Linked DNA regions of Neodiprion lecontei. The protein of the gene in region 1 purifies or fractionates together with the protein of each later gene. This does not show direct contact. Links are inferred from orthologs where the notes say so. Each region holds a gene or a part of one and is shown on either strand. Other genes may lie near its edges. The genes, in order: ribosome biogenesis protein BMS1 homolog and RNA 3'-terminal phosphate cyclase-like protein.

What was found.
Region 2: the proteins of ribosome biogenesis protein BMS1 homolog (region 1) and RNA 3'-terminal phosphate cyclase-like protein purify together in Homo sapiens (co-immunoprecipitation; 4 studies listed by BioGRID and IntAct, with this or other methods). This does not show direct contact. The link is inferred for Neodiprion lecontei from reciprocal best matches to the Homo sapiens genes BMS1 and RCL1.

What each region holds. Positions count from the first base shown.
Region 1 is NC_060261.1:13,350,039-13,356,438, forward strand, and holds the start of ribosome biogenesis protein BMS1 homolog, read left to right. Parts: upstream 1-2,276; 5' UTR 2,277-2,637; coding exon 2,638-6,222; 3' UTR 6,223-6,400. Other genes in the region: adenylate kinase, read left to right, coding at 1-21, 524-691, 941-1,186. UniProt on the Homo sapiens protein: GTPase required for the synthesis of 40S ribosomal subunits and for processing of pre-ribosomal RNA (pre-rRNA) at sites A0, A1, and A2.
Region 2 is NC_060260.1:411,516-417,915, forward strand, and holds the start of RNA 3'-terminal phosphate cyclase-like protein, read left to right. Parts: upstream 1-2,475; 5' UTR 2,476-2,627; coding exon 2,628-2,769; intron 2,770-2,867; coding exon 2,868-3,107; intron 3,108-3,197; coding exon 3,198-3,364; intron 3,365-3,451; coding exon 3,452-3,626; intron 3,627-3,790; coding exon 3,791-3,941; intron 3,942-3,999; coding exon 4,000-4,104; intron 4,105-4,193; coding exon 4,194-4,347; 3' UTR 4,348-4,356; exon of another isoform or gene 4,357-4,487; coding exon of another isoform or gene 4,488-4,776; intron 4,777-5,015; exon of another isoform or gene 5,016-5,088; coding exon of another isoform or gene 5,089-5,337; exon of another isoform or gene 5,338-5,412; intron 5,413-5,456; coding exon of another isoform or gene 5,457-6,148; intron 6,149-6,220; exon of another isoform or gene 6,221-6,265; coding exon of another isoform or gene 6,266-6,400. Other genes in the region: B-cell receptor-associated protein 31, read right to left, coding at 431-858, 1,008-1,275; tRNA-specific adenosine deaminase 1, read right to left, coding at 4,488-4,776, 5,089-5,337, 5,457-6,148; putative malate dehydrogenase 1B, read right to left, coding at 6,266-6,400. UniProt on the Homo sapiens protein: As part of the small subunit (SSU) processome, it plays a role in 40S-ribosomal-subunit biogenesis in the early pre-rRNA processing steps at sites A0, A1 and A2 that are required for proper maturation of the 18S RNA.

The DNA.
Region 1 (6,400 bases):
AGTGTACAACAGGCAGAAAAAGTAATTTACAAACATGCTTGTTTGCTCTGAACAAGATATTTAAATCTTTTCTTTACTTTAAGTAAATCTCTTCTATGTATAAATACATCTGATTAAGGTTCAATAACTAGTTTAAATATTGTGAAAAATGTCTTATGAACTCTAATGAGCTCTGATTTCATTCCAACTACTTTTGCGCAATGCGGATTATTTGCAGATATTTGATATGAAATTTGGCAGAATGTTTTCTAGATTTATTCTCACAGGTTGAATATAAGTTTTATACAAAGTTTGTGGTTCCAAAAAACTTGTTCAAAGCTGTGCAAATTGTGTTCAAATTACATGAAAGTGATGTAAGAATATAGTAAGAACTAAACCGAGCTTACAAAACATTTTTTGCAATATGCTAGAAATTTTAAAATTTATCAGAATCCTGTTGAAAAATAATCAGTAACATTTTGACCACCAGGAAACCAAGGCTCTGTACAATCAGCCATTTTCACAATTACATTAATTTTATTAGCTGGACAATATCCTGGAAAAACGAAAAACGAAGCTCGACGCAGTTATCGAATTTGGAATAGATGATAACTTGCTTGTGCGCAGAATAACTGGTCGTCTAATCCATCCATCCAGTGGGCGATCTTATCATGAAGAATTTTCGCCACCAAAGGCTCCGATGAAGGATGATGTAAGGATAATTCGCATTTTAGCTTAATACAAGACGGATTATTCCAATAATCCATTAAATGGAGGAATTGCAATAGAAAATGACCAGAATTTGAAAACGCTTGCTTGCTATTGGTAAAATGATGAAATGAAATTTTGTTTTATTGTTCCACTTAAGAGAAATGCGAAAACTTGGGATTATGGTAAATTGATCAATATCTGAACTGGTAACTGCTCTTTTCATTGATTACCCTATTGATGTTGTCAACAGATTACTGGAGAAGCTTTGATTAGAAGATCGGATGACAATGCAGACACTTTAAAGAAGAGATTGGCCACTTATCACACCCAGACTGCACCATTGGTCGATTATTACGCATTACGTGGTATTCATTACCATGTAAATGCAGCCAAGTCCAGCGCAGACGTATTCAAAGATATAGATTCGATTTTCCGTCAAGCGACGGCGGTTGAAAAAGCGAAAAAAAGCAAAGGATTCTTCAGTAACTTCTTCTAGGCATCCCGTTCGCTGTTGTTACGTTATGCATAAATGCAAGCAATATATCATCGAATCATGTGATGCTCGAACACTATCGTCAATTGCGTCACTAATTATTGTTAAGAACATTATCGTTATCAATCAATTTCAGATATGAAAGTTCGATTTGGCTTTGGTAGGAATAAGTTGTAATTATCGGACACCGATTCAGTGACGAAATTACTTATACAACCTGTTCGCCATAACTTAAGTAAATGTAATATACATATCGTGTGAAACATACAGAACGAAGTTTGTGGCAAACGTTTCATAAATGAGGTTGCTTTCCTTTATTGGTTGACGCTTTTAATCAAAACTGTCGTTCGTTCATTTGTATTTTGAAGATATATTCGTGGCACGATACTTCGCCCAACAATAACCATGCCCGAGCATCAGATTTCCGAAAAATTACAAAAATATTTAACGCTTTCTCAACTGCAGTCGAAAGGTTGTAACCCAAATTATAATAATTGTAGAATCTGTTTAGTATAATTTTATACATGTAAAGGTAACTACGTGACGTTTGAAAACGAAAAATATAGATATTCTTTTCTGAAAATGTCTCAGAGAACGTTTAAAGGCACTCATGATATCTAATCATTACTGGAACAAATTACGCACATAATCACCGTTACTAAACGTATCGGTCGTATCGTTAATCACAAACAATAATCACGGAATTTGTTGAATTTGCATAAATTGTACTGTTTGTTTATGTATATCCTAAATTTTATCAATTGTATTTGATCAATGTATTACAAATAAATTCTTTGCCTTAAATATACGTTGCGACGGAACGAATTTCTCCCCAGTAAGAGCACTGAGCAGTGCTCGCAGCAGAGTGTATATCGGATCATACCCATAGTAAGACGAGTAATCCTCTCTACGGCAACCAATCACGAGCGTGCGAGGCAGAGAAAAGTACTCGTCTTACTATTCCCCACTCTGAGCCGTTTTCCACTTACACGAAAGGGTATACCATGCTTTCTCCATAGTATATGCTCTAAGGTGTAAACAAACAACTCTTAGCCGTTCAGATCCGTGTAGCTAAAGTAGGGTCTGTAGTTTTGCCACATGGCAGCACTGATTATTTGCGCTCATCAACGTGCCCAACATGTGCTTCACACACATTATATCACTGAACAGCACTGAACGGCATCGTGTGGCACCGCGTTGAGTTGTGAGGTTACGTGTAAAGTATTTTAAACTTTGAAAAATAATGTTGAATAACACGTTCAATCATCAACAGTTGGTAAATTGCCACAAATAATTCTACAACCTTCACAAACTGTCAAGAAATTAACGTAAAATATATTATGTTTAGTACGTTTTATGGTTAAAATAAATTTTATGGTTATGTTATGCCTCAAATCTTATGAAATGATAAATAAGATTCCGGTTAATTGTTAATGACTAAACCGTAAGTAAAGATGTCTGGAATTGACGAAGGAGGGGTTAAGCATAAGTCGCATCGTGATCGCAACGCGGGGCGAAAGGCAGAGAAGAAGAAAAACAAAAATGAACATGTCCAAGAGTTGACAGACAAGCAAAAGAACCCAAAAGCTTTCACATTCAATTCGGCCATAAGAGCTGAGCGTGGTTTCAGACGTAAACAAGACCTTGAAACAAAAAAACAGCATATACCGTTGGTGGATAGAACGCCTCTGGAACCACCGCCAGTCTTAGTGGCTCTAGTTGGTCCTCCAAAAGTGGGCAAATCAATGCTAATGCAATGTCTAATAAAGAGCTTTGCTAGGCAGCCACTGTCGAATATTCTTGGGCCAGTAACTGTTGTTTCTGGTAAAAAACGTCGCATAACATTCATTGAATGCAACAACGACATCAATAGCATGATTGACATAGCAAAAGTAGCTGATTTGGTTTTGCTCCTGGTGGATGCGTCGTTTGGTTTTGAAATGGAGATATTTGAGTTTCTAAACATATGCCAGGTGCATGGTATGCCGAGAATAATGGGTGTGCTGACGCATCTGGACCTCATAAAGAATACCAAGCAGTTGAGAAAGATCAAAAAAACACTGAAGCACAGATTTTGGACTGAAGTTTACGCTGGAGCCAAGCTATTCTATTTATCTGGACTTCTGCATGACGAGTATCTCCGCAATGAAGTGAAGAATCTAGCTCGTTTCATATCAGTGATCAAGTTCAGGCCTTTGACTTGGCGGACCACGCATCCGTACCTTCTGGCAGACAGGATAGAGGATCTCACTCCTCCAGAATCCATCAGACAAAATACAAAAGTTGACAGAACCATCAGTCTCTATGGATACGTGCGCGGTGTTCCCCTGAACAAGGAAACTTCTGTACATATTCCTGGCTGCGGAGACCTCAAAATCAAGGATGTCAGTTTCTTGCCTGATCCTTGTCCGCTGCCTGATCAAATAAAGAAACGCTCTCTCGTTGAAAAGGAGAGACTAATCTATGCTCCATTTTCGGGAGTTGGCGGTATCGTCTACGATAAGGATGCCGTCTATGTGGAATTGGGAGGGAGCCACTCTCATCAAGAGAAGGAGGGAGAGGATCCAAGTCTGGTTGGTAATCTGATGGAAACGCAGGAAACCATTGACACCAAGTTGCGTCGTAGCGAAATGCAAATTTTCAGCGGCACGGCATTGATTAGATCAGAAGATGTCGAAGAAGAGTTCAATACTGATTTGAAGAGTAAATCAGTTATCGAAGAACAAAGGATCAGGCGCAAAGTAGTATTCGACGACGAGATGAACGAGCTACCTAACGACGAAGAAGACAGCGACGATGAGGTGGATTTCGGTAAGCAAAATTATGATTCGGATGGAGATGAACTGGAAAGTAATGAGAGGAGTAAAAGAATCTGTTCAGAGGCAGATGACGGGATTATTTGTAAAAGAAAAAAAATTGAAGACGAAGATGGAAATGTATCAGTGAAATTCATTAAGAACAAAGATCAGGCTATAACTGATTGTGAGCAAATATATCGCGGACTTAGCAGTAATCCCGATAGTCATATAAAGGATAAAATCTCTCAGGCATTGAGTATGCTGGACAGTAATAAAAAAAATCGGGACGACAGATCAGAGGCTGATCTCAGCGAAAATGAAAGTTTTGACGAGGAGAGTGATGATAATGATTCTGAGCTAAATTCGAACGATGATGTTCATGTGGAGGATGAGTTACAATGGAAGTCAAATCTGACGGAAAAGGCAAGCGAAGCATTTACAGACCGGCTGAGATCCCAAAAAAATTTAATGAAAATTGTGTACGGCGAATTTGACAAATCTTTCGTAGCTGTCGATGATGAATCGCTTTCGGATGAAGATTCAAAAAATGAAGATATTGGCGGTATTTTTCGCATTGTAAATAAGCAGGAGAGGCAGAAACTGGAGGCACGAGAACTGCGGAATCAAGAGGAGAGCGTGTTTTACTCCATAGATTTGTCAAAGGATTGGGAATTGGAAGAAAACCGCAATCTGCTAACGAATCGTTTTGTGACTGGTAAATGGAAGGAATCCGAGGATGCCGAGGAGCTGTTGAAGCTCGACGACCTGGAAGATGACGACGATTTGTACGGAGATTTCGAGGATCTAGAAACCGGGGAAAAGCACAAGGCTGAGGCTCCTGAAGAGATGACATTCAGCGAGGCGGATGAGCGGCGAAAGCTGATTGAGAAGAAGCAGAAGCTTAAGGAGAAGTTCGACTCGGAGTATGACAAGGGTGAAGACAAGTCCTACTACGACGAGTTAAAGTCGGAAGTCGAGAGGCAGGCGCAGTTGAACAAGTCTGAGTTTGAGGGCATTGCGGACGAAATCAGGGTCCAGCTCGAGGGTTTCAGGCCTGGAATGTACGTCCGTGTTGAGTTGGACTCGGTGCCCTGTGAGCTGGTGACGAATTTGGACCCGACCTACCCGCTGATTGTCGGTGGACTGTTGCATGGCGAGGAGAACATTGGGTTTGTGCAGACTCGGATAAAAAAGCACCGGTGGTACAAGAAGATCCTGAAGACCAAAGACCCGCTGATTATCTCTGTCGGATGGCGGCGGTTCCAGGCTTTGCCCATCTATGCGAAGCTCGAAGACAATCTGAAGCATAGGATGCTGAAGTACACGCCCGAGCATGTGACTTGCATGGCTCATTTTTGGGGCCCTATAACTCCTCAGGGCACCGGAGTTCTGGCGGTGCAAGACGTAGCCGCCAGGCAAGCAGGATTTCGCATCGCGGCAACCGGCTCGATAGTCGAGCTTGACAAATCCACATATATCGTCAAAAAGCTCAAGTTGACTGGTGCCCCGTTCAAGGTTTACAAGAAGACAGCATTCATCAAGGGGATGTTCAATTCCAGCTTGGAAGTGGCCAAATTTGAAGGCGCCAAATTGCGGACTGTGTCCGGCATTCGTGGACAGATAAAGAAGGCATGTTCCAAACCACAGGGTGCCTTTCGTGCAACCTTTGAAGACAAGGTGTTGCTCAGTGACATTGTGTTTTGTCGAACCTGGTACAAGGTAGATGTACCGAAGTTTTACAGTCCCGTTACATCGCTGCTGCTGCCGCCGAGTGAGAAGAATCAATGGCGAGGAATGAGGACGACTGGTCAACTCAAGAGGGAGAATAATTTAAGGGCTCAACCTAATTCGGATTCACTTTATATACAGATCAAAAGAGATCCGAAAGTTTTCAAACCACTGATCATACCGCGAACTCTGCAGAAGGGTTTGCCATACAAAGACAAACCAAAATTACAACCTGTTATCAAAAACCATAGACCGAAACTCGAAGATCGACGACCAGCTGTCGTTAGAGAGCCCAAGGAGGAACAGGTAGCCAAACTAATGAAAATGCTTAGAACTTCGTACAGCCATAAACAGGATCAACTGAAAGAAGCAATGAGCAGAAGGATTATGGCCCATCAAGCCCGAATGCAGATTGAAGAAGCAAGGAAAATGGGCAGGCAAAAAGAGTTGAAGAAAGAAGTGTTCAGAAAACTTAGTAAAATGGAGGCTAAAAATAAAAATAAAAGAAACTAAGACTACTGTTTCATTATATCTGTAATATTATTTCTTCTATCAACAACCATGTATATTTTCGATCGTTATTTTGAATTGCCTTTTTCTATCCTTAGTCAAAATTAATTGTTTTAATCTTGTTCACCTACTAGTGTGAACTTATTGACTTTTGTGTTCAACATCTGTTATCTAGGTGAAT
Region 2 (6,400 bases), on another chromosome or scaffold:
TACATTTATATGTTTAACGATATTAAAAATTGCTCTAATGGTAATTAATAAACAACAGCCGGTTAATGCTATTCATAATTTTAGACTCTGATTGATATTTTAAACTGACGAATGTATATCATTTAAAAACTTTAGAAGCCCTCATTTCTACGTAACTTTTTACCATAATGAAATTACAAATGCTCAAGCACCTCACCAAATTTTAGAAAAAAATTAGCAATATTAAATCCGTCACAATGTAATTGTTGCTATGTACAAACATGAAATATTCAAGCATTCAAAGATAAATATAAGAGAAAGACTTGCTGAGAACTTCAATAATCAAACAATGCAGCTTTGAAAATCCTACAATAAAAATATAACATTATTTTTATAGCTAGAATTACAAACAAATACCATCTCTTTTGCGCAAAAGGAAGTATGGTGAAAATTATTCCACTTTTTTGTCTCCGCTAGATTGCAACTTGGCGTGTTCTTCGCTCAGTCGATCATATTCCTGCACAAGAGATTTTGCTTGCGATGTGACTGCTTCTTTGTCTTTCTTTTCCTTTTGCAATTCCGCTTCGAGCTCAGAAATTTGTTTATTTAAGCCTTTGATTTGATTTTTAAGCTCAGAAACTGCTTTGTCGTGAGCCTCGTTGGAATCATTCTGGGCACTTTCTCCTGATGATTTCTGTGCCAGTAGAGATTTTGCTGTGGTGGTGGCAGATACTGCTTGCCGCATAGCTGCCTCACTTTGTGCCAGTAGCGTTGCTTGGGCCGAAATCAGTGTAACCAAGCGACGGATCACAAGGCTCAGAAAGAGCGAAAATCCAGAAATATAAAAATTCCGTTGAGCCCGAAACAGCCGCATATTACCTATAATTTATGCAATTGTATTTCGTTATCAAAGAATGTTATTTCTACGAAAACACATTAACCCACATACAGTAGTAGTCCCATTTTTTGAATTTTGAATCACAGATGCACTTCATTTTTCAACAAATAATAGTATACAAATTTCGTACCTTGCATTTCTGTATTTAAGTGAACATGTTCCCCAGTCTCTATGTTAGAATACTTGCGCATTTCTCGAATCGCATCTAGCAAAAATAATACCAAAATGGCCAGCAGGACTAAAAAGTATATCGACGCTTGACTGCTCAAGCTCTGAAGGAATCTGGACTTGAAAAGCCGTTGCCAACTCTTCGGGGATGCTATTGGCAAAACGAGGAGCAGAACAACAGCTATTTCCACATATAAAAAAGAAGCGATAATCGTCCATTGCAAGCTCATCTTTATTACCGTTTTTTCTTGCTTTCTTATCTTTCAGACGAATATATCTGAAAATAATAATGAACAATTTCAATTACACACTTGGTTAATATCAGGTACTGAAAAGTTTTTAAATGTCTGTCGTTTCTAGCCCGGGTGAATTTTGAATTAAATTAAATCGTCACATCCAAGATATTATTGTACTATGATAGACTGACCAACGGATGAATTACAAATGAAAAATGGGAAACTCTTGAGCCCATTTTATTTAAGCATTCAGTAATTTTTTTCTGACTTGCTAGTGTCGATTACTGTCAGCATAAGACCAAAAAGACCCAAGATTACCCAAATTACAGATATCTATTACAAAATACTGTATCTGAGGATGCGAGTCGATTTTACACTATTGAATATATCCAAAAACTTGAACTGTCTGAATTATTCTTTGGCTCAAGAAAAGTGAGTAAAGTAATGAGAATTGTCACAAAAAAAAAAAAAATCAGTAATGACATGAGATCAAATGCAATACCTGTATACTAAGATTTAAAAGTGAATCACAACCGACTTTACGAACTTTGATCAGATAGCTTCAGCCTATGACGCAATACTATTTATGAATTTGACAAATATTCTGTGTCGATGCAAGGCTAAAAATGTATGTAACGAGGAGATGGCGGGGAGCAAGGATTTGACTGTTGAATCGTAATGAAACTCGTACATGTAGGCGAGTCTTGTACTCATATCTCACAGGAATATTGTCTTGTCGAATGCGATGATAAGGTATAAAAAAAATTTCACGTTAGCGCAGAAGATTACATATGAAATGGCTGAATCGTCTATTTTCACTTGGTTAGCGAAATTTTTAGATTAATGGCTCAACTACTTACGTGGTTTTTAGAAAGTCGCACGCCGGTTCAAGCAATACCTAAATCTCTAACCACTCATTCGCCCAACGTAACGTCCAGCTAAGTACAAAGTGCGGTACGGATATTCCTGAGTTTATAAATAAATTACAGGGTGACGTTGTACCCCGTAAATGTTGCTATGTTTTCTACGTTTCTTCTATTTCGTTTTCCACGAACACAGGGTCTTCTTTGATTGGCCAGGCCGTTGGCGAAAGTTTGCGTTCCTAAATATTGGAAAGACGTCAAAGATTGTTGTTTTGACTCAATTTGAGGAACGCAGGTCAACGAGGTCTTCTCTCACTGACAATAAGTAGGTATCAGTCAAGTATCAGTCAGTGGTTCTCTGGACGAGAAAAAAAGAAGATAAAATAAATAAGAGAAAAAAAGTATAGGGAATCGCAATAAACACCACGTGCTTTACGGTGATTATTGTTTGAAACTTGATCACAGTAATATAATTGAGTAAGAATGCCAGGAAAACTTATAAACAACGTACTCACGTACGAAGGATGCAATTACTTTAGGTATCGTTTACTACTGGCAACATTGTCCGGGAAACCCGTAAGAATCACGGGGATACGAATCAACGATGACAATCCCGGCCTTAGAGGTTAGAACTTCGAACTGGACGGATCCGATTGTTGACCAATTCAGTTCCTTAGTTTTAATCATGGAGTTCGACATTTATGTTTTTGGTTTTTATTACAGAATATGAAATCAACTTCGTTCGACTCATGGACAAAATCACAAATGGGACCAGAATAGAGTTGAATGAGACTGGCACTATTATTTCTTATATTCCTGGTTTACTGGTCGGAGGAGATCTGGAACACGAATGTAGTCTTGAACGAGGTATCAGTTACTATTTAGAAGCTGTCATGATGTTAGCCCCTTTTTGTAAGAAAATGATCAGACTCAAAATCAAAGGAATAACCAACAATACTCTTGGTAAGAATTTTTGAAAATTTGTTCATTTCTGTAATGTGCATATTAAAAATCAAACGTTCTATCAAAGTAATTGGTTTCCGATTACTTCAGACCCCTCTATCGATAGACTGAAAGCCAGCGGAATTCCTGTCATTAAGCAATTCATTGTGGGGGATGATGACGTGGAATTGAATATTTCTAAGAGAGGCGTTGCTCCATTAGGCGGTGGCGAAGTATGGTTTAAATGTCCGGTGAATCGTCACCTCAAGTCGATACAGGTTGGTTAACAATTTTTTTAAACAACTGTCATAAATTTGAAATCATCCAGCGGTACACGGAGCCTAACCTTAAACTTATTGCCATAGTGCCAGAATTGTGGAATGGTCAAACGAGTGCGAGGTGTAGCGTGTTCGATACGTGTATCCCCGGCAATAGCCAATCGCATGGTGGAATCTGCTAAAGGATGTCTGTTAAAATTTCTTCCAGACATTTATATTCACACAGATCAGAGTCGAGGTTCATCAAGCGGTAAATCTCCAGGTAAAATTATTATTACGAAAAATAATTTTTCTAGTTAACAGATCGATGTTAACAACTTTCTTTGTCAGTAAGTTAATTCACAATGAAAGTATGTAGTTTGAACATATTCTATCAGTTGAGGTTGAAATTCGTGTTATATCCAGATAAATATTTTTTACCCCTAGGTTTTGGAATTACTTTAGTGGCTGAAACGACAACAGGAGTATCTTTGAGTGGTGAAGCATTTTCATCCTTGACAGAGACCGGATCTCTACCATGCGTTCCTGAAGATCTTGGTAAAAAGGCAGCCTTATATCTTTTGGATGAAATATACAGGTAAGTTTAAATGTGTTATTATTTAATCAACACCTTTATAGAAACAATTACTTTACAGAAGTGGATGTGTAGATTCTGCCTTTCAAAGCATGGCAACACTGTTTATGGCACTTGGTAAGAAAGACATTTCAAAGATGACCGTAGGCCCATTGACGCAAGCCGCGTAAGTGAACGTCATTTTGTACAAAAAAACACTTTATTGTTATTATCAAAGGCTTGATTATCATTAGACTATATCTTATTGATTTTCAGAATACAATTTCTACGGGATTTGAGAGACTTTTTCGGTGTTGTTTTTAAGATAGACATGTTGAGCAGTGATGAAACTATCGTCGAGGAACGAAGTCTGGTATTATTAACTTGCGTTGGAATAGGATATTCGAATATCAATCGCCGTGTCATGTAGCTCTTAAGTGTGAGTAATTTTTATTTACTAAAATAAAGCCCAAACATTTAAACAGAGGTCTTGATACTTTTACACCCGAATCTGTCAGACTGATTTACTACAATCTAAAACCTGTAAAATTGTCAAAATGCTACACCAGATTATACTAATACAAAGTCTTGAAGGTACAATGGCTTCGCAGGCCATGCCCGAAAACTTTGTAACTTTAACAATTGCCAAGATTGTTGATAAGTTGCAGAGCTTTGCTTTGCATGATAGTATGTGATTTTCTTCGGGTGATTTTCTTCACTGGCTGTTGTTCTATTGAATTTGTCAACAGTTACGAGGAATGTTCTGAAAAGTTCTTGCTTGCTGATTAATAAGTAATTTCCTCTTTTTTTCTTCTTCGTTGCGCCTTGCTTTCGACCATCCACAGATATCTCCAATTGTCTGTTTATATTGAAAAATGATTACTTTCACATGAATCATCTATGTACCATTTTAACGAGATTGAAGTTCATGTTAATATAATTACGCATTACCAGAATAAATGGCTATTTCACAACTCTAGTATTATTCGAAATGCAATGAAAGGTGAATTATACTCATTCTTCGGTTAAAATCTCTTCAAAATAACGATACAGTTGTGAAATAGTGATTTTTAAGAAACCTTTACTCATCTACTACAGGTGTATTTCGAGTAGTTGTCTTAGAATCAGACCACTATAAAACTCAATGTTCAGATAAGGCAAGGGTATTCACCTTTCGGGTACTGCACACCATATTATGCTAGAGGGGCAAGGCCGAGCCCTGTTATCTCCTTTTCTGTGGACGAAACTTTGTTCCGATTGCATGAAAACTGGACATCTTCTAGTGGCAAACCTTTCACATATACCACGTTGCATAGCTTCTAGAGAAAATGGAGATTGCCCTCCAATACAAAAACTGTCGATTATTACAGGTGGGATTAGTCTGGATAAAAGAGCCCCTTGTATACCAATAATATTCCATCTATAACAAATATTATACAATTACAATACGTATAATGAAAATAAAAGAGATGCAGCTACGGTTTTTTTAATGGTATAATACCAGGTTTGAATTCAATTTATTGGTCCCAATGTTCTTACTTAGCAATTTTGTCGGAACAGGATAAACTCAGCGTTCGATCACCCCGTCCTGGTTTTGTTCTTATGGGTCCAAGAAGGTGATAATTAATACCCGGCAGGCGAGAATCTTGTTTGTCGATTTCGACACATTTTGCACCTGTTCGATGCACGTCGTACTCGTCACACTGATAATCTTCCTGAAGAACGGCTCTTTTTACTTCCATATCGTCGTTTGCATGAAGCTTTCTTTTTCGTGCAGAAGCGTTGACGCCGAACACACAATTCTCAACTATCTTAGGAAATATCGAACAATCCCCACAAGGAGTTTGACTACAATAATAGTGAAGTGAAATATTATTCCGTAGACAGATTGTTTTATTTGCATCCAATTCGAAAATATCGCTATTATTGTCATTCAACCTCAAATTTAATTGATGGTATAAGTAGCGTAGAAACGCTCGCCGGGCTAGGACCTCAGCATGTGAATCGCTCAACCTACTTCCGATTTCCCATTGTTTTGTATCTAATAACTCAGTACCGCTTAAACACTTTGTGCCAGTAGCCAGCGATACAACTGACAAAGATTCTTGTGCATCTTTCAAAACAATTCCAGCTAGAACTGTCCACTCTGTATCTTGTGGTTTTCCTGTTTTTCCAAAACTATTATATTTTTCACAGCAGAGCTGGGCAATTCTATCCGCCAGGTTGTTCATAATTAACAACAACTTACGCTCCAGTTGTCAGTTAGGTTTTAATTAGGTGTATGAATGATATAAAAATACGTAAACATTGCAAGTATTCTGCATTTATACCGAGTACATGTTTGCCACTCAACAGACGTTGGTTGGATCCCATGTATACTTTTTTTGAGGTAAGCTGGATAAGGTTTTCATGTGCTGATCGTTTATGACAAAGTTTAGATCGATGTTATCTCTGATGTGCTCCATTTTTGCAGCTTTTGGTAT